Linked DNA regions of Oreochromis niloticus. The protein of the gene in region 1 interacts with the protein of each later gene in a pairwise test. Links are inferred from orthologs where the notes say so. Each region holds a gene or a part of one and is shown in the gene's direction. Other genes may lie near its edges.

Region 1 (6,946 bases):
TGTTGGAGAGCTGCATATTTTTGAAGCCTGGACTCAGACAAAGGAGTTGGATGCAAGGAAACGATGCATCTTTGTCCGATAGTTGACTGTACCTGTGTTGTGTTTACCTAAAGTAGAGGCTGTCAAAATGTAAGATCAGGAAAAACATTTTTTTGAAACATTGAAACATGAATGCCCAGGATTCACTGAAATGATGGTCGGATGGTTTTAGTTTGGCTTCACGTGCTATAATAAATAATAAGAACTGGATTCTTGGTGAGGAAAAAAATAATAATGTAAAGATCAAAACTCAACAGCTTTACAGACCTCTTTATTAATTGTAAAAAATAATTAAATATATTTTTCAATGCAGTATTAAAGTAATTTATTATATTCCTTTGAATATAGGTTTGTTTAAAGCAGCTTTTTTTTTGGTTGTAATACCTCACTTGACCCCTGGGACGGGATAAAATTGGCATTAAAGGCTGAGTAGGGGTGACATAATCCAGCTCTCGTAATACATTCATGTTTGGCCTGAAGATTTGTCTTGTTTATTAAAACAGTCAACAGCTGAAGCAGCAGCAGCAGATGTGATGCATAATCATGCTTCCCACTTTTCGAAGACACCACTATGTCTGATGCCCATCACAAATCAGCAGTGGGCTGCAATAAAATCATGTTAAGTGCAACGCTGCTGTGCAGTAAAACAAGATTAATTGTTTGCACGATGACCGATATCAGCAGAGGGATAAAAAATGTAATTATATACTTGCTCTGGAGTAAGATGAATTGTTAGATCAACAGATAGAGTTATATTGTGCATATTGAGAAGGGCTAACATCCAAATGAGTTTTATGACTTAATAATCAACCTGTGGTCATAAACTAAATAAATGTATTATCAAAAGGATGAGTTGTAGTGGTGCCTGGGTTCAGTTTAAAACTTAGGAGCAATGATATTTGAAGGTGGAAGTATGGCTCCTTCACATTGTCTGATGGTATTTCGGGCTAACTGAAAGCAGCTCTAGTGCACACTGGAGGGATACTGTATCCGATCTTCCCTGGAAACGCCTAAGGAGGAGTTGGAGGTTGGGGCGGGGGAAGAGGATCTACTAATCTACTGAGCTTGCAGCAGAAGACCTAGACCTGAAAAAGTGGTCCTAAATGCATAGATCAGTCAGTCAGTCCCAGTTAACAACATCCTTTTCTCTCAAATGGCATGCAAACCTGGGTGGTCATGTTCAGCTGGTTTATACAAGAACATTTGTATTGATTGGTTCTTTATAAAGCAGTAATATTAAAAGGTTCTATTTTTTTGTGAGATTTCATCTTCGATTCACATAATAGTCGTTGAAAAGAAGAGACAGATTTAGTTTGGGGTCAGCCTTTTACACAGCTATACACATATATACATATAGACATGGTTACACATCTGCACACACGCTTTCTCAGGCAGTGATATGCAGTCTTCTGTCCTCAGGACTGCAAAGATCTCATTTAGATAACTCTCCTGATCTCTCGGTACCTCCCAGAGTCACCCTTCTTTGCTATATCCATCTATTATGTTATCACATGATGAGATAACAACTTTAGCTGATCCTTTCCCTCGATAGTGAGAGATCGGTGAGAGACCTGAAGAAAGCAGCTGACCTGGATATTTCCCTTTCGCAAATGTTTCTGTCATTTGCAGGGATTATGATTGCGTCAAGCATCACGTGCATCTGTATTGTGACAGCTACGATGTACCCGCTCATTAGACATGTGGAGGGTATTGATGCTCTTAAAGAGTGTGGTATTTAGCCAAATCAGCGTGAAATGCCATTATTTTAACCGTCTCTTTTACTTATATAGTCTGAAGCTTTCCGCCTCCAGAATGCTTATGTTGCCATCTCCATGTGCGACTGCGTATATAGGATGTGGAATTAAATTCACAGTCTTTCCTTAAATTAACCAGTGTTTTAATAGTGACAAACCACATGATAAAGACAATTATTTATTTATTTTTTGCATAACAACAAATTTTCCCTTCTGAACAAAGGAAAAAAAAAAACGATATAGTTTTTTATTGCATGAACTCCGAAAATTAGACCATTGCTTTAAATTGACCATTTAAGTTTTGAGTGTTTTGTTCTTCGAATGTTAAGAGCCAGTGACTGCAAATAATTTCAAACTGTTGCCCTAACAGTACTTGACATTTAGCATTTGATTTTACTGGTCTGTGGTTGTTAAGGGGAGTGGGACCATACTTCACTTTGAGAATGCCACAGAAAACTGCATGATGAGCGGCCTGACATACTGACATCTATAAGGCTGATAAATCAGTTAGAAAAATTACATACATCATTACATCCAGATATAATGATTCACAATCATCATCAGATGAAAAGCTGATATTTTGCAAAATAAGCCAAATTTATTTAATGACAAGTATTTATAGTTACGCCCCATTTACATGGGATTGGAGACCATTAAGGGGCCATCTGGCAACCATCTGGTGGATTCCACAAAAAGTTGGTGAGTGGTTGATGGAGGTTTCTGGCACTCACGTGTGTGAAATTGGTTGTAGAGAGATTTGTGGCGCTGCACCAAAAAACCTCCTTGTGCTTTGTGCTTTGGTTGCTAGCAGGTTGCAAGCTAGCAACCTGGAACACCCCAACTTGTCTGCAAACACTGGCAAAATTATTGCCAGGCAGAGGTGAACTGTGAAATGTGCAACGCAAACTGGAATATGGGATGGCTTGCCTTCAAACTTTGAGCTCTTTTGACATGGGTTGGGTTGCAGCAGTGACTGGCAAAGTAAAAACAGTCCTCATTTATCATGAGAACACAGATATGTCATACACTTGTTTGTTTCCTTTGTTCCCAAGTGATTAACCAAAAAGAACCCCAAATTGTCAGAGTTCACTCTTTTGAGGGAAAAAATGTATCCTGTAATATTTGTTTCAGGTCTTCAGGAAGAAATGGACCTTAAATTCTTGATGTAACATGACACAAATGCTTACAGTTAAATTTGTCTGCAGAAACACATTTCTTGTGTCTCATTTCCTGACCATTAAAACACATAGCAATGAGTACCTGCTAAAAATGAATGTTCTTTCAGGAGTTCATTGCATTCTTTGTGCCTCCAATTCAGTTTTTCAGTAATGCAGTAGGATGTGCTCCACATCCATGTGCAGCACAACCAGCAGCAATCTCTGTTCAAGCCTAAAAAGTACCGTATCATCAGCCTTGCGGTCCACGAGTATACATTAGATATACTAAACTTGCAGATTTCTTTCATCCCTTGGCTTTTGCTCAGGCTACCTTTTTTTTCATATTGGCATTATTTGAAAACAACAGTGCGTTCAATATTTTATTTGTATTTGGCCTGCTGCCTTGCATAGGTGTAATTTCCCATCCCCTCTTTCTCTCTCTCTGTAAGGGAAAAATGCTGTACAGTGTTATCCTGACAGCCTGGCACTGCTTCTGTGGGACTGTTTGCCCTCAGCACAAGGCCTGTCCACGGCTGCCACCGCTCAATGTCCCCTTCTTGTCGGCAAACGGCCAGACTGTCACAGTCTCTGACTGGACCAGCTGTTTTTTTTTCTCTCTTTCTTCCATCTTATCTCCTCCGTCACACTCTCTGTCTTCCTCCCTGTGACTTGCCGTGTGAAAGAGGCAGTGATAGGCCGCCTAGTGATGCAGCTCTTGACACAAACGTTGATATCCACACACGCTGGCATCGGTCGAAGACAGTTTTTATGTGTGTGTGTGTGTTGGCCAAAGCGACCAGCACACAAACACCATCCTGTGGATTGTGGGGACGCAGAGGACACTCACGCTCTGTTGTTTTTGTGCTTCTGTTGATGGACAAGTAAGTAGGAGGCGGACAGTGAAGGTCAGAGGCAGCTCAGTTTGGGACGCGGCCGGTCAGACCCAGTTAGACAAACAATAAACGTAAAATGGGATGGGTCCAGGCTTAAGCTGTCTGGCCGTGCCTCGGCCCGGGCTGCTGGCGTAGGCACTTTTTCGTGTCCTGTGCATCTCACATTGGGAGTTATCAGAGCATACAGGCAGGGTAGCATTACTAGTAACAGTTCGCCGGGGAACGCAGAGGGTCCCGAGTGTGACCTGATTTGTCAATTCGATGACTTCTCATAAGCATCGCTCCACCGGGGGGAATCATCAGCTTACAACTGGAGAGGTGGACTCGCTGTTCAGTGATTTTTGTGCAAAGAAAATTGAGGCGCATAATGGATTTGTCAGGAGTGTAATTTGACATCAAAGCGAAACATCTGAGGAGCACTTAATTGTCTGCCTCATTATGGCCTACCCAGAGAGCTTTGATTGGCTGAAAGAGACCGTCAGTTTGTTGCCAGGTAAGACCTCTGATTCACGCAGTCTGTGTGTAAAGGTATATTTATAATCAGAGCTGGAGCTTCCCATTGCTCCCAAAATCTTTAAACCTCATTTGAGAGAGGAATGTTACAAACTGTTGTGAACAGTGTGCAAATGATAAAAATCTTTTTTAAAAGCCTCTCCATCAGACCGAGTTGTTTACCGCTCGACGAAATACATCTTTCGGGAACGGAAGGTGAAATGCATGTCTGTGTAAACAGTTTTTGGAGCCAATTAAATCATCTGAAGGAACAGGGTGAAGAGAGAACAAGTGAATGCAAATGAGAGAGAAGTGAACAGCAGACAACAGAGCAGGGCAGGACAAAAGAGGAAGGAGGGGGAACAAAGACTACCTGTGAGGATGCAGGGACACATTTGCTTCTCACTTTGCTCATTTGCCACCACTTCAAGTAAAACTAAACAGAAACACGGGTAATTTCTTGAACACAAAGGGCAAACCGGGCTTAGGCTTTCACTATGAACCTGTTGACCTTTTAATTAAATTAGGAGTGCCTCCTATTCTCTGTAGGAACAAACAAAGTAGAGAGCATTGGCCCTCCCTCAGCTTGTTTATCAGAAGGCATTTATGTCCTTTTTCATGTTGCGTTTTAAATTATGTATGAAATGTATTTGCATATTTAATGCATGAGTGAATGCTCTGCGTCTCGATACCAAATTATGCTTCTAAATTACAATCTAAAGGACAGAAAATTAATGTGCTCTTTGGAAAACATGATGAATAGACTCTGCTGCCACAGAACATTAAAGCGTGCGCCAAAAATAGATACAGCGTGTATACAAGACACAGACAACACGAATGCTGACACACACACACGTGCAGACTCCCCGGTTCACTGCAGTGTGTGTGTCTGTTGAGGTGCTGTTGTACAGAAGGGGAAATGCCTGTGGAGGCTCAGATGGTGACAGATGGTTTGGAGACAAATCAGCCTGGGAGTCAGGATCTCTGCCCTGGGACCAGTAGCCCATTTAAGTGTGTTGGTGTATATAGCGTGTGTGTGTGGTTACTGTGAATCCCATTAAATGACGTTGAAGGCTAATTGTTAATACATTTGAATGCATTTGCATGAGCCTATGGATGGCTGAGCATCTTCCTTTTTTGCGTGTAGAGGATGTTAAATGTTATGTAATGCTTCTCGTAACATCAAATGTCATTGCTCTGACAGATTAAACGGTATGCAGGCATGTCGCACACCAGTGTGCTTTCTTTTTTAGATATTCACGCTTCCTTTTTTTATGAACAAATGAATACAACACACTCAGATATGAAGGTAAACAGTTTGATCACTTGTTTCCTCAGCATCCTAAACGATCTCTTTGTATGCAGTAGTGTCTGTCTGCTTAGCTTTTAGTAGTTGTGTAGCTTCTAAAAGAAATCAGTGTTTGCATTACAAACAGTACTCTGCTTATTACCGGTCGTTTTCAGCCATACCCATGTGTTGAGTTACAGTGGAAATAAAGAGGCAGGATGCTTTATTATAGCTTCATTAGCTGTTTGAGTAAACTGCTTATCCTTCTGTGCAGTGCGGTGAAAAATCGGATCGAGGCCGTTCACCACACACGCAGTCGCAGCTCACTGCAGTTCAGCACAGCTGGAATGACGGTTCTGCAAATCTCTAATCTCTGCCATATATTACCAGGTGCAGTTTTTCATCAGAGTGACATTGTTACTCTTTGGCGGGCTAACCTTGCAGGCATTAGTGTGAAACTTCTCAAAGTGCTTTACAATGCGCCCATAAATTACAGCTCGAGAGGTGCTCGTACGGCAGCCTGGAGAAGTTGTGCAGTAAGTAGTTCCTCTGGCTTCTGCGTGGCAGCAATTCCCAGTGGGCTCTACGCTTCAAGTACATCTCAGTCTGAACTTGTTTTGTGACTGTTGTGAGAAAGAAGCTGCTAAAAGCGCTGCAGGAGTACGTTTGGGCTGGGCGAGTACATGAACATGTGTCTCCATCTGCTGTCTAACACACGTTCAGTGCTGTGTTTATGTGTGTCTGTCTGCATGTGTTGTTGTGTCTCCTTACTGCTGAGCTTGGCCTTGACGACTTAAGTCCTGCTAGCCTTTAATAATCTTATTCCCGAGAAGTACCATCTAGGTCATGGGTTTCCACCTTCACTATGGGCTGCTTACCCACAAGTGCAAGAAGGAAAACAAAAGACATTTTGTCTTTTGTGAAAAGAAAGCTTGATTAAAATATCCCTCTCGTTTAGCTAAAGCTGTTTACTGTAATAGATTTTGTTCATATTGATAACACTGCTGGATTTACCACTACACACCTATTTAAAACAAAAATTGGTTTTCAGTTACCCTCAGACAGATAAAACAAACTAGCTAGCTTGCTAGCCGATTTTAAAAGTGCTAGCTATTTAGCTTGTTGTTTGGTTCAGTGTCTATAAATTACTTTGGTTCCTTTTAATCACTATTTTCTTGTCAAACAAGGACCAAGAGCTACATACAATCATTTGAAAAATAAACTTTTCACAGGATTAGAGTCTTGTGAAAAACTAGCATACACATACTACTTCTATAGGAATTAAAAGTGTATGTAACAGCTGGGTAATGCTAATCAAATGAT
Region 2 (7,770 bases), on another chromosome or scaffold:
ATTAACGAGATAGTGTTATCTTCCCGGCAGCCATGTTGGCTCAGAAAAGGATACGGGGACAGATTCAGACTGACACTGTGTGCCCAGACACTGTAGGAAGGGTCACAGCTTGCATGACACAGCCTGATACTTATGTCTCTGCAGGCTGACCTGCCAGACTGTATCTTGGGCAGGACAATTCTGTTTACATTGGACTGGTCTCACCGATGCTCACGCCATGCAGAGCACAGATGATACTCATACATCCCGCAAAGAGCTGTAATCATGATGAGTTGCGTACGCTTTAAATGCAGCTTGATCCTGGCATCAGCCTTGTAAAACACAGCACACCAAAGCTGTCTCAATAGTCAGTTAAATAGAAAAACGAAAAGAACTGAGTGAGCAGAGTTTCTTGGAAACATTTACTATTAATGGTAAGGGCTTCAGTATTCCAGACAGTAAAATTTTATGAGGCGTTTAGCCAGTATAATTACATGTGAGGTGGATGAAGAGATTTCAGGTATTTTAATGTTTTAATAATTCTTCCTGCTATTCTTATAACACTGTTTTTGAAAAAGCAATAAATGCATTTTTATGCATTTCAAAACAGCTTCATACAATAAGCATATACACAAAGGGATTTATAAAATAATCCTTTAAATATGTCATATGAAAGATGAGGAAATGTTTGTAAAAATCTTACTGTAGACAAGAGTGAGCTGAAGCATTAAGGTAAGATTGCAAGTGGAGAGTATTTAAAGTCACTGTCTAACCAAAAAGTCTGTTTGTTGTTGTTTTTTTAAATACACTCACTGAGCACTTCATTAGGTACACATTGCTAGTACCAGCTTGACCTCCCTTTTTACTTCAAAAAACCATCTTAATTCGTCATGGCACAGATTCAACAAGGTGTTAGAAACATTCCTCAGATGTTCCTCAGAGGTGACATACTAGTGTCACACAGCTCCTGCAGATTTGTCAGCTACAGTGGTCCCTCGCTATAACGCGGTTCACCTTTCACGGCCTCGCTGTTTTGCAGATTTTTTTTTTTTTTCGTGCAATTTTGCATGCTTTTTTTAATTTTCATTTTAATTTTTTACAGCGCATTGTGTTCTGTGTCCTGATTGGCTGTAGATCATTGTCAATCAATCTCTTCCGTGCCGTGTCTCCTGTACAGTACAGAATTTTTTCAGCTTGTCAAATTTACATAAATCCTCGATCGCTAGCAGCGTGACTCTGAAGTGCTGTACTATATGTTTGCAAGTTTTCTCCCCAACAAACACAACAATGTCCATGAAACGTTTTGCACCGTCAAAGGCACCTGCGATAGCACCCAAAAGGCAGAGGAAGATGCTAACCATCGCACAAAAAGTGGCACTTCTGGACATGCTAAAGGACGGTAGACATTACATTTTTCAGATTATAAGGCGCATTAAGCGAAACAAAACAGTCAGATAAGTCAAACTTTACTCAACTCATTCTTCTTGCTTCCTCCACTTCCGTATGATTGAACTGAATTAAATTGAATTGAATTGATTCATTAATGTTAAATTCTCTCACAGCTGCTCTATTCTGTTCTGGACCTGAAATCTGGGTTTGATCTTTGGTTTCATTCTATAATACTGGACTTATTTTTCTACAAAGGTTTGAACTTTGAGAATGTTTAAACAAGAGAGAAAAGTGTGAAAATGTTCATGCCTGTCTCAGAGAAGTGAATAAAGTGTGTAGTGAGGGGTTTTACAGCCTTAAAACATCTATAATAATTGTAAATAATAAAGTTGGCTACTTCGCGGATTTCACCTATCGCAGGTTATTTTTAGAACGTAACTCCTGGGATAAACGAGGGACCACTGTATACATCCACAATGTGGATTTCCCATTCCACTACATCCCCATTGTGCTCTATTGGATTGAGACCTGGTGACTATGGAGGCCATAGTACAGGGGTTTTGTACTGAGGTTTTGTACTTTTGTATTGCGTACAGGGAACTCATTGTCATGTTCAAGAAATCAGTTATCCTGCTAAAAAGAGCCATCAGAAGATGGGTACTCTCGCCATACAGAGATAGTCATGGTCAGCAACAATATTCAGTTAGGCTGTGGTGTTTAAATAATGCCTAGATACTAAGAGTCATAAATTGTGCCAAGAAAATATCCCCCACACCACCAGCAGCCTTCATTCTGATTCTGCCATCCAAATGTTGCAGCACAAATCAAGATTCATCACACCAGGCAACATTTTCCATATCCTATTGTCCAATTTTGGGTTATTTTGCAATAATGAGCAGTTGAACAGGTGTACCTAATAATGTGGCTGGTGAGTGTGTATTGCCATTGTTGGTGTATAAAGAGCTGGGGTGTCAGTGTTTTCCTGTTGGACTTGAGCTCAGAGACAGTTTAAACCTCATACTGGTCACACAGCTAAATGTCTGTCTGGGATATTTGTTAGTAAATGTGATTTAAATGTTAAAGTGTCAGTAATGGGAGTTGAGCTGCCAGCATGTTTCAACCCAAACACTCTTGCATTCCCATTCATTCACTATTTACTTTTGATTCCTGCCATATTTCAGATCCTTCATCCTTTTTTTCTTTTGCCATATTTTGTCATATTTCTTTTCCCCTTCCAGTTGATTTATGGATCAAACATCAGCGGAAACCAGGAATGTTTGTGCCATCAGCATGGGAAAAACGATCTTACGGATCAGAAAGGGAGCCTTGTTCAGTGTATTTAAGTTTCATATGCTGATTGTGCTAAACACAATAATAATAATAAATCAATGGACTGTGTTCATAACATGTAACTTGTGTAATTTTATGTTCTTGACAAGAATGTATGTTCATCTTCAGTTGTAATTTTAAGTCTCTGGTTCTCAATGAGACACTAACAGAACTTTATATTAAAAAATGAATATTGAATAATCTTTCTACGTATATATTAATACATTTATTCACAAGATGCTTTGTAACGTATATGAATATACTGATCTTTTTTAATTGTTGTTTTTCTCAGGTGATATCTTTCAATTGCCTAAGCAGTGTTCTGTGCAGCATTATGAAGAACATGATTAAATTTACTGACAGTGAATCAGGAAATGAACACAATTTCTTTGCCTTCATTTACATTTAAATAAAGAGAGATGATGGGAAACAGAATAGAGCATCAGTTTGTGTGTCACCTGAACCCATTTCCATTGGAATGCCTCAGTGCTTTGGGACTTCCATTGCATGAGCCCTTTGGTTGGCTCAAAGCATTTCATATTGTAGCTGTTGTGTCGTGCCATACCCAAAACACATCTGATGATTTTGATTTATTTAACAGTGTTGCTTGTTTTATTTTTACCTCAATCAGTGGCAGCAACAGGAAACCCAGCAACATGATTTATTTTTAATCAACATGTGCAGTGTTGTTGAATTTGTCACATGACCTTTACTGACTGATGCTTGTTTGGATAAATGATGATGTGGTTTTTCTTTCCTCTCATAGCTTCTTTAGTCTCCCATCTGCGTGCTCCCTAACCTCAGGAAGGAATTTGAATTAGAAGACTTTCTACCACGTCTAAAGATCACAGACTAACTACTCAAGTTTATTATTTTTACAGTGTTAAAATAAAGGTTTTGCTGAACTTTCACTTGAAGTGAGTCAAAGTCTTCCATGTCTACTAAACAATGTTCTTTTTAAACAGCGCTCTGTAGCATGGTCTCTGCATGGCTCCTAAACTGCAAGTATTAAAATATCTCCAATACCAAAATTTCCAATTTTTTTTGTACTAAATGTGCTACTTTTGTATGTTATGTTATGCTTGTGGTTTCTGATAAATGACAAGTTACACTGTGAAATATATACTATAAACTGACATGATTATTGCTGTCAAAGGTACTGATTGTGAATCATTATGATTTAGAAGCACTTTAAATCAGTTATAGTAAATATGCTTTCTTTATTTATATCCAATTATAAATGGTAACCTGTACTACTAACTTGTCAGCTCTTTGTTGTGTTTGCAATATACATATATATATATATATAAATATTAGAGAGAGAGAGAGATTTCATACTTTAAACTGTATATAAATTCAGGATTAGATCTCTTTATGTCATAAGATCTATATACTGGGTCTGTGTAGACCTGCTTGGCAGATTTTTAAATCCTAATGTAATAAAGAGTTACTTTATTCAAAAATGAACAGTGTACTCTCTATATTTACTTTGATTTTTGGACAGAAAAGACCAAAGAAGTGATGGAAAATGCAGGTTCCTTCCAGATTGTTCCAGAAACTTGCCAGTGGCCCTCAGCATAGTATGGTTATTTTTTTTGTGTGTGTGTTCCTTAAACTAACATCTGGACCATGGAAACACTTAAAAACATGAAGTTTAGAAGAAAGTTCTATAAAATTTGTGTGCGTGTGTGGGTCTTTTTTTATATATAGTTTTCTATGATTTCGACACCCTTTTAAAAATATAATCTATTTTACTACCCACTAAAGACATTACTATGTAAATGTTGATATCATTTGTATACCTGTATTTATTTATTAATGAATTTAAAAAATTGTAATCGAATATAATTTATATACCAAAGGAGGCAACTTTATTACGACGCTATTTTGGGTCGTATCCCACCTTCTGACGTGCGATTGGCCCTAATGCATGAATGAGGTGGACCTTGTATGTGACTAGCTAGTTAAATATCCAATTAAAATGTAGAGCGCTTAACGTCACTTGTTGAGGACCAATAGAAAATCGGCATGGTTGGTCATGGGCTTGGTTTTATGCCTGTTTTAACGCCTTCACTGTCCTTTTCCCCGTCGCCTTACGCCAAGGGTAGGGGGTGTGCATAGGCAGAAACTAACCTATGCTTAAAACTTTCTTTAGTGAAAGTTCATACTTACATTTTTGTGTGTTTTATTTCTCCATTCACCCGCTTATTTAAAGCGCGTGGATTTTTTTTTTTCACTTGCTCCTTTTTTTTGAAAATATAAAAAGCAACGTAACTGTTTAAGGTAAGTAAACCCATTTTCCTTATGTGATATATTTTTTATCTAGTGGTGTTCGTGGCTCTAAACAGTAAATGATGTGTCGCTATCAGCCAAAAAAAAAAATGCTACTAGTTTTAGAAATGGATTTTTAGCTAGCGTTAGCTTTGATTGCTAAACAGTTTACGTCGTCAACAAAGAGTAGTTTGTCATTTTCTGGTTTCTCTAATAAAGTATGAAGTTTACCTTACATAGTACTTACAGAGTTATGTTGTTGTTTCACTCTTAGCTTTACTGTTTAAACTGTGTAGTGTCAATTTGGTTTGCTGTGCCATGCCATGCTTTGCGTTAGCTCTCCATTGGTGTGTATGGCAGGGACATGTCTCGACATGACGCCGGTCCTTGCCCTGACATACACAGGCCTGCTGCTGTGATACGGCTACATGTATTGCGGCCTCACAAACTAGCACTAGAGCTGTGGAGCTCGTGTTTTACACACTTTTAGTAGCAGAAATGTCGCTTTAACTAAAAACGGAGAAACTTTATTTAAGTATATCCCTGTTCTATATTCGTCTCATTTCGCCTCCTGTTTATATACAGTCATTGCTCCTGTCCAGTCCAGTTTAGTCCAGTTCAGTGACGGGCATGTGTTAGCGGAAGGCTTGTTGCAGGATCTTCTCTTGTTAGTAAACTACGCTCACTGTATTTGTTTAACCATTTTTGTTTTGGACCAGATGTCCTTTAAAATACAACAGCCTAATATTTTAATTACGTGGCAGACAGAGCCTTGCCTTATTAAAGAGACTAAGATGTTTATCAGAGTTATGTTAGTAGTTAATACACATTTTATGGTCACACAGTTAATCCCAGTGTATCTTTTGTTTGTTTGTTTTTTACTGTATCACTAAGTTTTATTTTCCTGTCTGTGCAGATGATTGACACAGTAACAGGCCCTGTGGCACAGCCCTTTGCAGCCCAGCTGAAGGCCCTGATTGATCTGGAGGGCCGATACCAACCAAAGCTGAGCGGCTTGAGGTTCATTGAAAGCGCCCAGGACAACGGCCTCAGGATGACCTCCCGACTCAGGGAGCTGGAGGTGAAGGACCTGCTCTCGCTGACCAGGTTCTTTGGTTTCAGTTCAGAGAGCTTCTCGCTGGCTGTCAGTTTGCTGGACCGATTTCTGTCTGTCATGAAGGTTTGTAAATGCAGTACATTTTGCTTGCTTTCTTAAAATCTTAACAGTTGTCCCATGCGCTAATATCCATTTCCCTGTCTCCTACAGATTCAGCCAAAGCACCTTTCTTGTGTCGGCCTGTGCTGCTTTTACATCGCTGTGAAGTCCACAGAAGAAGAGAAGAACGTGCCTCTGGCCAATGACCTGATTCGCATCAGTCAGAATCGCTTTACGGTGTCTGACATGATGAGGATGGAGAAGATCATCATGGAGAAGCTCTACTGGAAGGTGAAGGGCCCCACGGCCCTTCGCTTTCTCCGCGTCTTTCACAGCCACGTCCTGGAGCAGCTCGACGCTGAGAGGTAAGGACAGACGGTCACACCAACCTGCAGGGCTGAGCTATGACTCAACGAGATTATATTTACTCTACTAAAATGTGTCTTCTCATATTTGGTTTGAAAGCTAACACTAACCAAAAATATATTTTTTAGCCAACAGGCACAGTCCTGTTTGAAATCGTGTAGACTTTTAGAAATGTGACAGGGTGTTAGAAAACAAATATGCAAGTCCCCCTTTTCAAACGTTACCTTTTAAAAAATAGAAATCCTTTTGGTTGGCTTTTTTATCACTATTTATGTAAGCTGTACCTCACATTCAGTTTGCTTTGACACTAAAAGCATTTTTTCCCTTTAGCATGAAGATCCTGAGCCTTGAGAGACTGGAGGCGCAGCTGAAAGCCTGTCACTGCTCATTTGTCTTCTCCAAAATAAAGGTAAGACAAAACAACTACTCTCTCCACATTGAAAATAATGACTTATTTCAATGCTTTTCTGCGCTTTTCATTGAAAATCAGACTGCTTTCGTCTTGTACACTTCTCGTTTGTTGTTGTATTTCAGGTATAATGTAGGTCATCTGCGCCGATTTACTTTTAAATGTTGTCATAGTTTCTACTTTTTGTTGTTAACAAGAGACTGTTTGTATTTCTGTGCAGCCATCTCTGCTTGCCCTGGCTCTCCTGTGTTTTGAGGCCCATGATGAACATGACCCAGAGCACCTTGACAAAATATCTGAGGCCTTGAGCAATCTGCAGCAGCAGTTAAATGTAAGTCCAGCTCTGAGCCTTTTGCTTTAAAGAATATATACGAGCAGTTCAAACTAATCCTTATTTTAAACTGGGCCTCAGAGACACAAGCCCTTTAAGCCAACATTCTTCTGATTGGTTGCGCCTAGCAGGCAGAAGGTTTGAACAACAGGCCAGTGAGACTTGTGTGCTCATGGCTACACCCGTGTGCCTTATTAAGAATAGGTCCTTCTTATCAACATAGAGGTCAAAGAGTAGGAAAAACTGTATCAAAATGAGCCTTTGCTCAACTCAAACCAAAATGGCTCCTTTTCAACATTATTGCTTATTAGTATTTTTGTCTAAGGTGGTGATGATCCATGCAGTGTAGCTTAATGAATTTTAATGCTAAAGTGTTAAGCAGAGATGATGTGAAGCCTCATCCTTCTTTCCTGCAGATCAAAGACGGGGATCTGGTTTGCATGCGGGAGCTAATTGGAAAATGCTTGGCTGAGTACGCCACCACTAAGTGCTGCAGGCCAAGCGTCCAGAGACTTCGCTGGACTATTTCGGGAAGAACTG
Region 3 (7,791 bases), on another chromosome or scaffold:
GGAGACACTCTATTCAGGGCTGAATCTGGTCTCTCATATGTTACTGGGAATCACATTAAACCTTTGCATTAACGATGAATCCTGGTTTATGAATTCCTGTATAATCCTGTGGGCATCGAACATGAGAGGACAAGCACGCTCCTGGTGTCTCTGCTGATGCCTTTGGACTTCAAAACTGTGGACTGAGACTGAAACCTGCCGTTCAGGTTCTGGGTTGTACTCGGAGAACCAGCTCTCATCAACATCTGCCTCAACAAGGTTTGTGGGAGGCTTTACAATCAATTTGATCACATTTCAGATTTTAACCACCTTCTTCTTTAGGGGTTGTCACAATCATCTGCCTCCATGTCACCAGATCCCTAACATCCTCCTTCACTACATCTATGAATCTTCTCTGTGGCCTGGCAGCTCTTGTCCAACACGCATATTCCCTATCCATCCTCTGCACAAGTCCGCTCCACCTGAGCCGTCCCTCTCCAGTAATGAGACTGCCTCCACTACAAAATGCTTCAAAATGATGTTTTTATTCAGACTCACCATAAATGTGATCTCTGCGTAGTCCACCAAAAAGTGAAACATGTAGATGATGAGAGGAGTCTGAAAGGATCAGAGCAGAAGGAGAATTCAACATGAACATCTAAACATCAACATGCCTCATTTGTGGATTTTCTGCTGACTCAGATCTCAGTTGTAGAAATACACCATCTATGAGGTCCAAGCATGTAATGGAAAAATCAAGAACCAGGAGCAACTGAAACATCCGAGCATGTCTAAATAATTAAATAAGACATTTATTGTCCGTTTTCCACCAACACGGCACCCGAGCAGAGCAACTTCAGTGCTTTCTGAGAAACAGCTAAAGGTCTTTTTGGTGGAAATGCATGAAACTAGTTTTAGACTGAGCACCGGCACCTTGTTGGTGAAATGTGACATTCGAGAGGTGGTTTACAGATGCTACTCATCCTCCGAGTCTACCAACGGGCAGCCTTCTTTTGCTGATTGACTCTTGTGTTCTTTATTTAATACATTTTGTGTTTGTTGAAGTTAATTTTCTATCTCTGTGAACAAAGTTTGATGCGTTGACTTTTGGGCACCCCGATCTCGCTCTGGATGTTTTAGAGTATCGTGCCCTCCCCTCTTAGAAATCTTCGGTCCAGCCATGGCCCGACTCTGAGGAAGCCCCTCCTCCCTCAGAAGATCTGACTCTGACACTTTCACTTTGTTCTGATGATGCAGTTCTCACTATTACAATGCTGCTCAGTAAGCAAAGTTTTCACCTGGGTGTTACCTGAATGCTGCTTCAATGGAAATCTGACGTTTTGTAGAAAGAAGTTAAAGTTCCCTTCCACTGTGATGGTTCACCACGAAATGAGCAGAATCTGGAATGTTTCGTCTTTGTTTTCCAGACCATCTCCTTCTAATTTTCTGATTATTTTCAGGTTCATGTAACAAATATAACCTTCAATGTTCACACACACTTTGTAATAGGTGTGTGTGTGTGTGTGTGTGTGAGTGAGAGAGAGGGATTCACCTCATGGAAAACATCTCCAGAATATGGTGAAACTCCCAAATCAAGCAGAGCCAAACCTTCAACAACTGCAGAGAAACAGCAACAGAGAAACAGTTTTATTAAGACTGCTTGATTACAATAAAAATCACAACCACAATTATTTTGGTGACTATGGAAAATGTTTATTTTTGCATTTATGGAACTTCAACTTGGTGAATTTGGTCTGACATTTCGAGAGTGAAGCTACATTTTAAACCATTTTCACTCTATTCCACTATCATTAGAAGCCAAAATCATAAATGATGTTAAAATCTCCAACTTTTATTATTTTTTACCAGCACTGGGCTGTTATCTTTGAATGCCTCCTCTTGAAAGTAGCAGTTCCACAGCTTCCAGTTACAACTGCCTAATGAAAAATGCATGAAATGTTTCTGTGTGAGTCTCACAGCATGTTGGTCATGTTTTCTGTTTTACAGAAAAAGCTCAGATTGTCTGCAAACCTGCACCTCTGGCTCCTGTCAGGTACTGTGTCATCATATGCTAAATGGAAACTTAAACACTGTCCACTAACATTTCACAAATTCATCTAAAACAAAACCTTTGTCTGTGGTAACTAATGGAAAGCTGATATAAATATGTCAAATAATAAAGTCAAATCAGCGAGTGCCTCCCACTGTGAACCAGTTGATTTTTTTTGTACATTAATTATTTTCAGATATTTACTGGCCATCGAAGCACATGGGGTGGGGGTATGTGCATTTTCTCCATCACTTTGAGCCCTCATAACTCAACGATTACAGAAGAGGTAGTCAGTTGCTAAGGGTCAATTAACCAATTATTCATGGGGGTGTATATATATATTTTAGCCTGTTTGTATACTTTTGTCCAAATTAGGGTGTCTGCACAGTGGTGCAACTGTTAGCGCTATCACCTCACAGCAAGAAGGTCATGAAGGCAGGGGCCATGTGCCTGTTAGTGGTGATTTTAAATTGGCTGTAGCTGTGAAAATGAATTTTTAAACACTTGCTGATGTAACATTATACACACGTCAGCCAGATGTTTTACAGGTGTAACGTCTACGTTACTATGCGCAAATGACCCCGTGGAAACTAATGTGGATCACAGGAGGATTTAAAGGGGTCCACAAATACTATAGACTGTGCAGATCTTTGTTCAGCCGCTGGCAGAGACTCTGGTCGTCATTACTACTAGTGGTCGATGGATGTTTGACAGAGAAACAACCACTGAGCTCCATTCATTGGAAATAACAAAGAAACACTTGTTTAAATCTTCCCCTACAGAAAGTAAAAAGTATCCGCTGTTAGCTTAATGTCAGTAAAACATCATCAAGCTTTCTGAATTTGAATCTCAGCTGCTGATTTTCGCAGCTGAACCGGTTTGACCGAGTTACCGGATAACAGCACCGATGAGAGGGAGGTGAGGGGACCCGGACGTGAACCGACCGCAGCGGCTCCAAACCGCCGCTGGACCCGCGCTTACCTCTCTTCCAGGCGGTTATCGGCGACACCACCTCCACCCTCTCTGCAATCAGCTCCGCCAAACTGGACCGGAACAGAGCGGCACGGATCGTAACGGCCACAATCAACAGCAGAGTCAAGGGAGCCGCCATCTTGACAAGGAAGCGCTGTCCGCCCTGCGAGGTGCACGACGGGAAATGAAGTCTCCAAATGTGTAGGAAGGAGAGAAGGAACCACAAGTCCAGATAAATAAATAAATAAATAAATAAATGTACTCTAAAGCAAATGCTGGAAATTAAAGAAAAATTTATATAGAAATATGAATATCAAAAAAATAGACATACAGATAATGGGTGCATGTGTTATCTTTTTACATGTTTGCTTGATGTCAGCTGAGGATTCATTTTACATGTGAAACACACTCTGACAGACAGGACAAACACACAAAGCGGAACAATTGTTGTCCTATACTTGTTTTCATCCGGAGACTATTTGTGTTGGATCAAAACAAAAAGCCGTACACAGTGAGCCACTACGCTTCCGCTAACCGTGCGGTTATTTCAAAAACAAAATTGACTCTGTTAAAAAACATAAATTTACTTTTTTCTGATCAGGTTAGGGTTCATTAAAATAGCTTCACACAAAGAATACAATAGCAAGCATAAAAATGCCATCTGAAAATTCATCAACTGACATTTTGGGGTCAAAGATCTCAAACTTAAATGAGCTGTGGGCCACTGCTGGCACTGTCATCTCATCCGAGGGCCACTTTAGTTTTCAAGTGGTACAAAAACTAACAAACAAGAAAACACCCACAAATATCTTAGAAAATGTAGTGTTAATTTGTTCGTTTGGTTTTTTTTATTTCAAATATTGTATAAAAAGGCAAAACTGCAAACGTGAATGTATTTTTTCCCTCACTCTTCATTAACTGAAGCCTTTCATTGAACTACCAAATAAACAAATTGGTACTCTCTTTCTGGCCAGACACATGGCAGCACTTCTGCCATAATTTTGTTCATATTTGACAAAATAAAAATGCAGACATCAGTGTACACATTGGTTTTTGACTGCTAGTGAAAATTGTTAAATAACTCTCTCACTAAACCAACAAAACCAATCCCTCAACATGTTTGTACTCTCTGTTCATGTTGCCTTCATATTAAATCATTTTTAAATATATAAATATATATAAATAAATACGTTCAAGGGCCAAATTGCATTATAATTCTTCATGTCAACATATGGGCCCAAAGTAGATGTGACGTGGGTCACAAGTGGCCCCCGGCCCGCGGGTTTGAGAAATCCTACTTTAGATTAACAGTTATACAGAGGTATAGGCTCTATTAAGATGTAATGAATTAAAGTAGGGAAGATTTCAACATTATTACAGTTAACCCAAACAAAATAAAAAATAAACCCAGGTACGAGAAAAATATTTTAGTTTGGTGCATTGGTGCACATGTTTTGTAAGGCTGAGAAACGCAACACTTCATGTCTACATGACATGAAGTGTTGAGTGTGTATTTTATTACTTCGGCTAAATTTCCCTCTTACAAATACCCCCACATTATAGTCAAACTAACCCAGAAACTAAGAAAAACTAAACTGAATAAGAAAACCTAATCTGAGAGCGAATCAAAATGAAACGTAATTGAAGCTAGAAATAATAAATGAAATAGAAATAAAGAGCAATGAAAAAAGTTAATACCTCACATAATATCACTGGATATTTTTATTTGCAGATAGGTACCGTTTGGTCAGCTCTCTGGTGCTTTTAAACTGAAAAGCCGCGAAGCGGAAATGGTTCCTGTTGCTTGGCACCGAACTGCAGCTTGACTCAGTGAAGCTGCTGGCCAGACTTTCGTTTTCATTTCTTTTGCCTGAAACTGTACCGATGTTGGCAGATTGAAGGAAAACATGGCTGGCTTGGAGGTGTTGTACACCTGTGTCGCAGGTAAGATAACCTGCCCGCAGGACGCCGTTGTGTGTTTTGTTCACTGGGAGCTGGTAAAGAACGGATACAGGTGCATCGGCTCAGGAGACGAGGTGAGTTCGCTTATTTTAGCTAAATCTTGTGTTAAATTATCCCACATAATGGAGAAGATAATATTTTCTTTTTTCATCATTCTTACGCCAAATTGAGAAATACAAATTAAATATTAGCAAAAAGATTCTCTATATGTGGTTTTCGATGTTTTTCGGACCGTAATGTCCAGTAAATGCTTAAAATGTCGGTTTTTGCAGTGGAGTTCTGTATGTAATATTCAACGTAGATTAGCTATAGCTTCATAAACAAGCATCACCTCCTGTGTGAAGCCGACGTTAACGCGAAGAATTTAAAAGTGTGAAAAATGCGTTTTCGGTTTCTTTAATCCAGCTGTCATGGCTGATATTCAGTTTGACGGCATCTGGTTTAAGAGCGACAATTTACCAAAACTGTCATGTCATCTTTAGCTGGCTAACCCACTGGGGGCAGTCATCCTGAAACACCACGGGAGTTTATGACACAGATTCGTGTTAGTGTGCAGCCTTGCTATCCTCCATCCTCTCCCCATGTTCATTTTACAGAAATCAACAGGTAATCAGTAGTATTTTTTTTTTTTTTTTAAATGAAGCATTTATAATGGGATTTAACGTGAAAAGGGAAGCGTTCGGCATCTCTCTGTGATTGTTTTATATAAAATCACTCTGGAATGACACCTGCCATTTAGTAAACAGGAAGAGTAAGTGACCCACTTATAAAATGAAACATTTTTCTTTATTTTGAACATGATGATTTGGTGAAAAGGTGTTTTTTTTTCTTTAGATATAAATAATGACAAATTGTTATGCACCTAAAAAATGAACTCACTCTACTGGATTTTTATGTGTATCATTATTGTTGTTATATTTACTTTTTCCACATTAGTTTTTTATTTTATTATGTGTAATTTTTACGTTATTGACCAATTTTGTTTTGTCACATTTTAATTATAGAGTTGATCTTGTTTATGTTAGCTAGTTTTTGTCTGTTTTACTGCAGCAACACAAGAATCTGCAGTTTATTTACAATTTTTTACAACAATCTTACCTTTGTGATGAGATTAGTATATGTCATATCTAATAATAGCACATATTTCTTGCTGTATATTTTAAGTATTGTTTTGTTATTTGCAGTGAACTGGCCAAATACTGATAACAAATATTGTGAAAAGAAAAAGCAGGTTTCTGCTGCTGCTTTTAGGTTTTTATCTGTCTTCACGGCGTCTGTGACCTTCTTCCTCCAGGCCCGCAGCAGTGATAAGAAGTCCGAGCTGCTGCCTGCTGACTGGAGTAACAACAAAGAGCTATACAGTCTGCGATACAAAGCCAACAACAGTGACACCCAAATGCTCCTCAAGGCAATCACTGTTGATTCCACCTTGATCTTCAATCTGATGGTAAGCACATAAACATTTGTAGGACTGGTCTCATTAGTTTTCTAGATAATGGCAATTTAAAATAGTGCCTTAAAAATGTTGGTAGTGTGTGGGGGTTTTCTCTCTATTAATGACAACAGAAACCTGAAACTTTGCATAACTCCCCTTAAGAAGAAGAATTTTTCCTCTGGATTATTTTTTCATTGGAGAACTGACATAGACTGTGCAGTTTATCCTGCATTTCAGTCCTGATGTAGGGATCCATGAAAAGCCTTAAAAGGGATCAAGTCTGATTTTCTAAATTTGAATCTTACTGTTCAGAGCAGACATCACTGCAGCCAGGGGTGAGGTCGCAAACACTTTACTTTTAAATTTGTATTTTTTTTTCGGTCCAGTCGAGTTTGTATCGATTAAAATGTTTAGATTAGTTTAGTGTTTAGTTCAGTGCTAGTTTTAGTTTTTGTCATTCATATACAGGTCGTATTACTGCACCGTAAGACTGGAGAAATGTAGATCTATGCAAAGATCTGACACACAGTTGTGTAAACTAAGAAAATATGATTTAGGTTGAGTTTACTATTTGCTGGTTTGTTGAGATATTATTCTACATGTTAATCTATCCTTTTAATGGATCGTGTGTGTGTGTGTGTGTGTGTGTGTGTGTGTGTGTGTGTGTAGAACTCCAGCACGCAGCAGGTGTCAGACTTAACGGTGAACATCAACGACCACGTGAACACTGACCAGCTACACACATTTGACAGGTTATTTTATTGAGCTGCTCTACTTTATTAAGCTTTTATTCTATTGACTTATGTTGTTATGATTATTTTAATTGTTGTGTTACTATTTTGGATCCTGTATAAATAATAATAAAATATGCCTTGTCCTCAGCCTGCCTTATACGGTTGTCTCAGATTGACCCCACCGACTTGTTGTTCAAATCTTTTATTTGTTGGAGAAAGCCTATTATAAAAAGGTTGTCTGAAAGGGAGTTTGGCCTTGAAGGGCAGTTTGTTTGATAACTAAAGATTATTTTGCATTGTGAATCATGCTGAGCTACTCTGGTAGTCAGAAAATAAAAATATAGAGCTGGAAAATAAATAAAGTCATCTCTCTTCTCTGCAGTGTGTTCAAAGATGCAGACAGTTTGTCGGAGAAGGTGAAGACTCAGCTGCTGCCCCCCCAGGACAGACCGACAGGACAGAGAGCAGAGAGGAAGAGTCGGCGGGATGAGGAAGAAGAGGAGCAGAGAAGAAGAGGAGAGGACAGTGACCCCCTCCGCATTCCCAGCAGGAATCCTCGCCAGGGGACACACCCTCACTGGTTGGTGATGATATAAACTGTGCATGCAAAACTTTACCACAAAACTCAGATTTATTCATAAACTTATCATTAAATATGT
Region 4 (7,489 bases), on another chromosome or scaffold:
ATTAGCCTTATGTCAGAAATACAGACATAAGAGTGAGAAGGCACATTTATGTAGGTACAGGCTACAGAGTAGTGCTGCACTTTTGCGAATGCATTATTACAACCAGACCTATATCAATCACCTATCTGATATTGGCTGGTCGCAAATATATTGGTATTGGCTTTCATTCTGTATAATATGATGCAATATGAATATTTTTGCATAGGGACAACATACAGAAAGACTGTAAGGCAATGGTGCCAACAACGACACCCCAAAGACTTGGATGTTAGTTTCATTGGTGGCTGTAAATTGACTCTAGGTGTGAATTTGGTTAGATAAAAATGGCTTGGAGACTATTTTGAACAGCAACAGTTAAACTGCTGCCACAGAATGCACAAAAACACTAGAGATGGAGTAAAAGTGGGGCTAAGTTTGCTTATAACCAGGCAGCATAACCACATAAATTAAACAGACCAAACTGCGGGTTGGACTGTTCTGCTTTGTGTATATAAAATTACACATTTTAAACTGGAGCTGTCTGAAAAAGCCACGTTGATCTGCTAATTATCCGAGGAGCCACAATCGAGAAAACTTGAGAGAAGATGACTGAATGAGTTTTCCCAACCAGATTTTCAGCCAGTCTAAAGCAACTTTTCAGAGGCGAGCCAACTGGTTAAAGCTCCTAACACAAGTCAACCTTGAATCACAATAACTTTTAGTGTGCTGCGTTACCATTCGGAGCTCCTGTGGTAGTAGTAGCCCTCAATTGTTGCTGTGGATTTCTGGAAGCAGATGTAGTAGAATCCTGCAAAGGAAGCGCCGCTGATGTCCTTTATTGTGTGGTCAGGGACCAAAAACTGTTCCTAAGGCAGGCAGGTGAGAAAGACCAACAGAAATATAAAAGCCAACCTACTGCAGAATTTAGTTAAGTTCACTCTTCGGTAATCATACCTTCCACCTCATGAAAATATAGTCAGAGTTCTTCAGATCCTCGTAGTCAAAATCATCAGAGTTGAATGTCTTTGCATACTGGTAGAAGGCCTGGAACTTGCCCTGGACACAAAAACGTTTACAGGATAGGACAGAATAAATCAGTCTGATGGAGACTAATTTTTGTAATTTACAAATAAAAGTGGTTTCACCTTACCCAGTGCTTACGATCCACATCCTCATCCGCATCCCATTTCCGAGTGAGAAATGGCCGTTTCCTACTGATGATCTCTCCAGCAAAGAAAGTGGTCAGAGTTGGATATTCCTAAAACAACAACGAGAAGCAATTGAAGACACATCTGGTCACTTCTACTGTTTGCAATTAAAAAGAAAGTAATATTAAATGAAACAAACACATCTGTCTATTTAATGTTCAATTATATAAAAGACAGTTCTATTCTAAAACACAGCAGAAAGTGATCATTTAGAGACTGACATATAAGAGGTATGTGTAATAAGCCAACACAATGTCACAGCTAGTTCACCACTGCATTCATACAGTGGGAATGTTCTGGATGCTCTGTACAGCAGGAACACAAAGACGTGAGCTGTTACCCAGTAATTACTTCTGTAATAACCGAGGACTCTAATTATAGCATGTATTGCGTTAGCTGTAATTTACTCTGTGAAATAGAGTTTAACACACGTCCTAACAACATAGTGTTATGGTTATTTTGCCAGTGTGCTGATAACATCTTATTTACACTATCTTTGAATGTTGCTATTAAGGCATGATTAGTAGTATAACATCCACCAATCAGAAGAAAGTTGAATTTAAGTGAACGTGGTCTTCAAGGAAGAAGCAGAGGATGAAATGAAAGCCCAATAAAGATTATTCAGAATCATCCAAAGCTACTCTAGCAGAGGCAAAGGATATAAATTAGAGCTGGAAGTAAGCTTTGTATATCTAAATTTAAAAAAAGAAAACATACACAGACATCAGTCACATTATCACAGCTTCCTTAACACTGGTTCCAGGTCTCTAAGACCTTTACAGATACGGTTCTGGATGCCAATGAGTCTTGGTAAATGGTAAATGGACTGGTTCTTATATAGCACTTTTCTACTTTATTTGAGCATTCAAAGCGCTTTATACAACATGATGGATTCATACAAGCACTTCTTTCTATGCCTGCATACTATCTAACATTCACACACATTCCCACTCTGGATGCATCTGAGAGCAATGCGGGGTTAAGTATCTTGGCCAAGGATACTTTGGCATGTAGATCGAACCACTGATTATTAAATGAACTGCTCTACCTCCTGAGCTACAGCTGTCCTGTGTTGTGCTTGGTTTAAAAAGAACCCTAAATTGAAGCAAATTTCTCTTTGTGTGTGCGCCTAGCAAATTTAGTGCAAAAAGAAATCTCCTAGAATCACAAATTTTCATTAGGGTAACTTGAATAAGTGCAAATGTCTGTAATCAGAAAGCAATTGCAAAGATTTGTCCTACAAGGCATGAAAGGAAAACACCTTTGCTAAGCTACAGCTTGACACTAAACATTTAGATTAAGACCAGAGGCCTCAATTATCAAGGGTACTAAAAATAAGTTTTCAGGAAATCATTTAACTTGTAACTAAAGTCTTGTTTTGACATTTCGTTATCTTCTGGTTATGTGTGGCCATGTGAGTTCAACCCGTGATAAACTTTGCCTTTCTTGACACCTGGTGCCAAGCAGCCTCAACACAAACTCAAATGGTGTGTTTGTGAGCTCAAAATGTAGCCTACTGAATAACACATGTTGGGTGTCTTATATCTTCTCTACCATTGCCATGATTCTGTCTGTGGCCGATCCAGACTACCCGCTCATTTCTGTAGGTATTAAAGCGTTATTACGTTAAGCCGTTAACAAGTTAACCACAGGATTTTAAGGACCTGTGTGGCAATCTCAAAACTACTTTTAACTATTAATCCAACAACATTTTTTATTGATGAGACACCATACATATTAGAACAATGTGTTCTCGACAGCCCAATCAAAAAGGAGTTGCACGGCCACAATAACTGATGTGCTCTGCCTCAGGGGGAGAGTGCAGTTACTGATTCAACTATTTCAAAGAGCACTCAAAGAAAAGGTTCAATAGTTGAAATTAAACTAGAAATTGATATTTTACAGTGACCAGCAAATGAATTAGTAGATGTTTAATGGAAAAAGTGGACAGTATGTGCAAGAAAACCTTTAAAAAATCTTGCATTTGAAGGAATTTGCCTAAAGAGATTTTTGAACAACACTGCATAAAGCCTTCAAGAAGCTAGCCTCTCTACTCTGGGCAAATAAACCTTTTGCTAAACAACTGTACTTACTTTTTCCATAGTGAATTTTTTTTTACATCAATTGGTACTTTGGTTGAAAAGCCCAATAGTCTTCGTGTTGTCTTATGTTAATGCCTTTTTCTCTTGGCACTGTTAGACATGTTTGCTACTACAAAAATAGTCACAACAATTTCCATGACAGCTGTGGCCAGACATGGTATAAATTATTTATGCTCATGCTTTAATGAAGGGAATCACCTCTCTCACCTCTGTTAGTCCTTTTATCTTCAGGTAGCCACATAAGTAGGAATCCTCCATGGTCACATGCTTTAAAAAGAAAGCAAGACATACAATAAACTACATCACATTGACATCAGTTCAGATCATGTTATGGTTTTACAAAGGCAATGCTAAATATTTAATTTCTAACAGCAACCTCAAATACAAATAATTTTCTACTGAGGTAAATGTTTGTGTAGGCCTTCACACCAATTCTGAATGTCCTTATTTGTATTTTTAGTAATAAATTACTTCAGATGCATTAAAACATTGACAACAAATTTAAAATGTTTGTTTGTATTCAGTCGTGGGCACTGCTACGGGACAGGACAGGGCTGATTTTACCAGCTGTCAATCATCATGCCGCCCGTTTGACAGATGACCAAATGCCTCTGACATCTCGACTGAATAACGAAATAGTCGCTTCACTGCCCCACCTGCAAAACAACCTCCACGTCATAAGAGTTTCCTTTGCTTTTCTGGTGGCCCCTGAATTTGGAACCGCTGTACAGGAGCGAAGTGACAACACCGGGCTGCTGCGTGTTTATCGGGGGCGGCGGGATAAGTGAGGCCGAGGATGTGAAGGCCGCGGTGGTGGAGTCGCTGAGGTATCCAGCGGGGACAGGCATGGCTCCGGCTTCGCTGACCGGGCACCGACCGCGGGCAATTGCCGTCGAGGAGAGGTACTCTGTCGGCGTCTACAAAGAGGTGGCGGAGAGCCGAAGAGGTCCAACAACATTAAAATTCCACTTAATTCCGCTACAGTTCAGTTTACCAGCAACCAAGCTCCCAAAGAAGTGGACTTCGACGCGGTGTTGTAGCCAGAAGTATCCTCCGCTCTCATTGGTCAACTGAGTCTGGCTTTCGAACATCTTCGAAGCTCATTGGTTCGCCGTGCGGAAGGTTTCGTGGAAATATTTGGATGTAGTTTTTCAACTGTTGTGTAAGGGTGTGTGGCGCACGTATAGAAGCGCTCTTTAAACTACATTTCCCGAAGAAACTAGAAGCCTCTACGCTGCTGTCAAGCGCCGAAGGTCACACGCGTGTTTTTGAACACAAAGATGCTTAAGAACTGAGCAGCTGATAAATGCAGTAAAAATAAGACTTTATGCTAATAGGAAAATATGCGTGCATTGCTAACTCTTGTTTAATGAGGACGTTTCAGACACAGACATCTCGAAGGTGTGTTTTCTTCTCAGTCAGCCTTACTTAAAAGCATCACATCTTCACATACTTTCCGCTATGCTTAGGTGTATAGTTAGACTTCAGAGTCAGGTTGGGAATGCTTTTTCTCTCAGTAAGGTGTGTCTGAGAAATCAGCACTACGAATGTGTTGCGAGATACTCCGCAGCCACAGCAGGTAAGAGCAATAACCACCGTGAACGAAAGCTCCGGTCATCTGCAAAACATTTGTGTCATTTCACCCTGATGTGGCGTTTTTCTGTTCACCAGAGAGGAAGAGATTTTATCAAGATGTCAGCATATCTCAAAGTGAAGGTATGTGTAGTATGGTCATTAGTAATCCAGTCAAGTATAGTATTGTAGTAGCAGGTTTTCCTGCCCCATCTTTATGCTTGTGTCATTCCTTAATTTAGTGGATATCTTTTGAAAAATATCTCTATATAGGTGGTTTATATGAGATAAACCTCGACCAAAGGAAGCTGAAAACTCCAGGAGGGAAGCTGTTCACGGTGCCAAATGAAGCCTTGGCCATCGCTGTTGCAACTGAGTGGGATGCTCAAAGGGACACGCTCAAGTTCTACACTATGCACTTGGTAAAGCATTTGACATGGAGTTATAGCAAAGTGTCACATGTTTTGGGGTTTTTTGTGTTTGTTTTTACGGTGGCGCCTATGTTACATAAAATAATCTTGAGAGAAAAGGAAAATTTGAGAGGATTTTTATGATTTGATAGATCATATTTATAAAAGGAATGTTACCCAGATCTTCCAACAGCTTGCAGGACGTGTACCTTTGAACTAACTTTGCCATGATATTTATACAAAACTTACAGTAATATTAATTTTGGGAAACTCTTCCCTCAGACTACCCTGTGCAACACGGCTCTCGACAATCCCACCCAACGCAGCAAAGAACAAATGATCACCGCTGCTCTCAAGTTTCTGGAGACTGACACCATCTGGTATGGCACTCGTTTATTTCTATTTATTTTAGGTTTGTTTAATTTTCTGAAACTTCAAACATAAACTCATCTGCAAATAAATGTATATACATCTACATAGTCTATATATCCTATAAACACCCATGTGCATTCACAGTTCCACGTGCGCATCTGATAATTATTTAAATTTGAATTTATACAAAATAAGACATGAAATAAAACAAACTATTTTATGTTATTAATATCCAGTAACACTTATACTCGCCTTTTTCACCTTGGGAAAAAATGTCCTTTTGCATAGTGCTATGACACTTTAAGAACAGTTCGAATTGCACTACAGTTAATTGTTCTTTCTTTATAGCTTTAAATATGTATGCTTTCCTGATCATAATGATGATGTTATTCAGCTATTTTCCTTAAGCCAACATCAGAGTTACAGGATAAATATGGAAAATTCTACTTTTAGACTTAAAAACAAATTTATTTTTGTTACAGTAGCAGAGTAAATGGATATCTGACTCCCCTTCCTGCTGATAAAACCTACTTGTGTTACACTGTTATATATCACATTTTAAAACATTTTCCTCATAGAAGCCACTCATTTATTCATTTTATTAATAAATCAGTGTTTTAACACCTATAAAAGAGACATCGACACACTGTAGACAAACTTAGCTGGTTATTTTCTGAGTTGATGTTTTTTATGTTGCTTAGTTGGCACCAATTGATTGGAGTTATTGTGACTTTAATATTGTAGGATTTATGTTTTGTGTAGTTACAGAGTAGATGAGCCCCATGGTTTAGTCGAGCTGCAGAAGAATGAATGGGACCCTGTGCTGCAGTGGATTGAAAAAAGGTAAGAACAGCTTTAGCTCTTGTTGTACATGCTGCAGTTCTTTTCAGGGTATCCTTTCTTTTCCTGATAACAATAATTAAGTGTAAAAGGCCTGATCTGTGGTGTTCACATTGCTGTACTTAATTCAGAATAGTTAAAGAAAATCTTGTGTATGTTCTCCTTATTTGAATAGTGATTTGTGCAGAAATACAGGCATATGAAAATTTAATGTAATATTATTAACAGAAAGTTACACAGGTGATCTTGTGCAATAACGGATAACATAAGCCTTATAATAATGTATCTGATTCAGATCAGTTCAATTGTATTTATATAGCCCAATTCGTAACAGCAGTTACCACAAGACACTTTATGTTGTAAGATAAAGACCTTGCAATATTAGAAAGAAACCCCAATAATCACGCCCTTTGACCAAGCTCCTGGCGACAGTGGGAAGGATAAACTCAGTTTAACAGGAAGGAAACCTCTAGCAGAACCAGGCTCAGGGTGGAGCAGCCATCTGCCGGGGTTGGGGGAGGGAGACGGGGTAAAAGACACTATGTAGAAGAGCCAGAGATTATATAACTAATGATTAATGTAGAGTGATGTATAAACGCACAGTAAGTGAAGAATATGTCTGTGAAGGTTCTCAGTCATCCAGGTCATCGTAGTCTATAAGGAGCTTGGAAAGAAAACAGCGTCTGGACTTGTTTAAGTTGCTTGAAAACCCTAGAACTGAAGAAGCTTCTCGGATGAGAGTCTTCAAGCAACTTAAACAAGTCCAAACGCTTTTTTCTTTCCAAGCTCCTTAGACAGTAAGTGACGAAGCACTCAGTGCATCATGGCATATTGCAGTTTAACTAAGGGAGGGTTCAGTGTCATCTGATCTATAAGCTTTAAAAGGAAAGTTTTAAGACTAATCTTAAATGAAGAGATGTCAATATATGCTCTCTCCTTCTAGTCCATGTCAATACTCTGGCTGTGATATTCTGCATCAACTGAATGACTTTTCAAGGAGCTTTTA

Evidence for each region.
Region 2: the proteins of pak5 (region 1) and ccng1 interact in binary tests that used the Homo sapiens proteins (3 or more experiments, as listed by UniProt). The two-hybrid records come from large-scale screens. The link is inferred for Oreochromis niloticus from reciprocal best matches to the Homo sapiens genes PAK5 and CCNG1.
Region 3: the proteins of pak5 (region 1) and psmf1 interact in binary tests that used the Homo sapiens proteins (3 or more experiments, as listed by UniProt). The two-hybrid records come from large-scale screens. The link is inferred for Oreochromis niloticus from reciprocal best matches to the Homo sapiens genes PAK5 and PSMF1.
Region 4: the proteins of pak5 (region 1) and atpaf2 interact in binary tests that used the Homo sapiens proteins (3 or more experiments, as listed by UniProt). The two-hybrid records come from large-scale screens. The link is inferred for Oreochromis niloticus from reciprocal best matches to the Homo sapiens genes PAK5 and ATPAF2.

The regions. Positions count from the first base shown.
Region 1 is NC_031980.2:4,445,297-4,452,242, reverse strand, and holds the start of pak5 (serine/threonine-protein kinase PAK 5), read left to right. Parts: upstream 1-3,929; 5' UTR 3,930-4,281; coding exon 4,282-4,336; intron 4,337-6,946.
Region 2 is NC_031966.2:26,583,841-26,591,610, reverse strand, and holds the start of ccng1 (cyclin-G1), read left to right. Parts: upstream 1-4,756; 5' UTR 4,757-4,980; intron 4,981-5,884; coding exon 5,885-6,148; intron 6,149-6,235; coding exon 6,236-6,489; intron 6,490-6,820; coding exon 6,821-6,899; intron 6,900-7,119; coding exon 7,120-7,230; intron 7,231-7,646; coding exon 7,647-7,770. Other genes in the region: septin-8-A, read left to right, coding at 3,464-3,518. UniProt on the Homo sapiens protein: May play a role in growth regulation. Is associated with G2/M phase arrest in response to DNA damage. May be an intermediate by which p53 mediates its role as an inhibitor of cellular proliferation.
Region 3 is NC_031970.2:5,252,346-5,260,136, reverse strand, and holds the start of psmf1 (proteasome inhibitor PI31 subunit), read left to right. Parts: upstream 1-4,787; 5' UTR 4,788-4,908; coding exon 4,909-5,037; intron 5,038-6,257; coding exon 6,258-6,410; intron 6,411-7,067; coding exon 7,068-7,150; intron 7,151-7,514; coding exon 7,515-7,712; intron 7,713-7,791. Other genes in the region: pigu (phosphatidylinositol glycan anchor biosynthesis class U protein), read right to left, coding at 538-597, 1,532-1,596, 3,011-3,140. UniProt on the Homo sapiens protein: Plays an important role in control of proteasome function. Inhibits the hydrolysis of protein and peptide substrates by the 20S proteasome. Also inhibits the activation of the proteasome by the proteasome regulatory proteins PA700 and PA28.
Region 4 is NC_031973.2:20,994,633-21,002,121, reverse strand, and holds the start of atpaf2 (ATP synthase mitochondrial F1 complex assembly factor 2), read left to right. Parts: upstream 1-4,467; 5' UTR 4,468-4,616; coding exon 4,617-4,690; exon of another isoform or gene 4,691-4,750; coding exon of another isoform or gene 4,751-4,806; coding exon 4,807-4,868; intron 4,869-4,960; coding exon 4,961-5,005; intron 5,006-5,134; coding exon 5,135-5,283; intron 5,284-5,553; coding exon 5,554-5,651; intron 5,652-6,405; coding exon 6,406-6,486; intron 6,487-7,489. Other genes in the region: glucose-induced degradation protein 4 homolog, read right to left, coding at 715-845, 934-1,035, 1,130-1,237, 3,497-3,556, 3,946-4,137. UniProt on the Homo sapiens protein: Plays a role in the assembly of the F1 component of the mitochondrial ATP synthase (ATPase).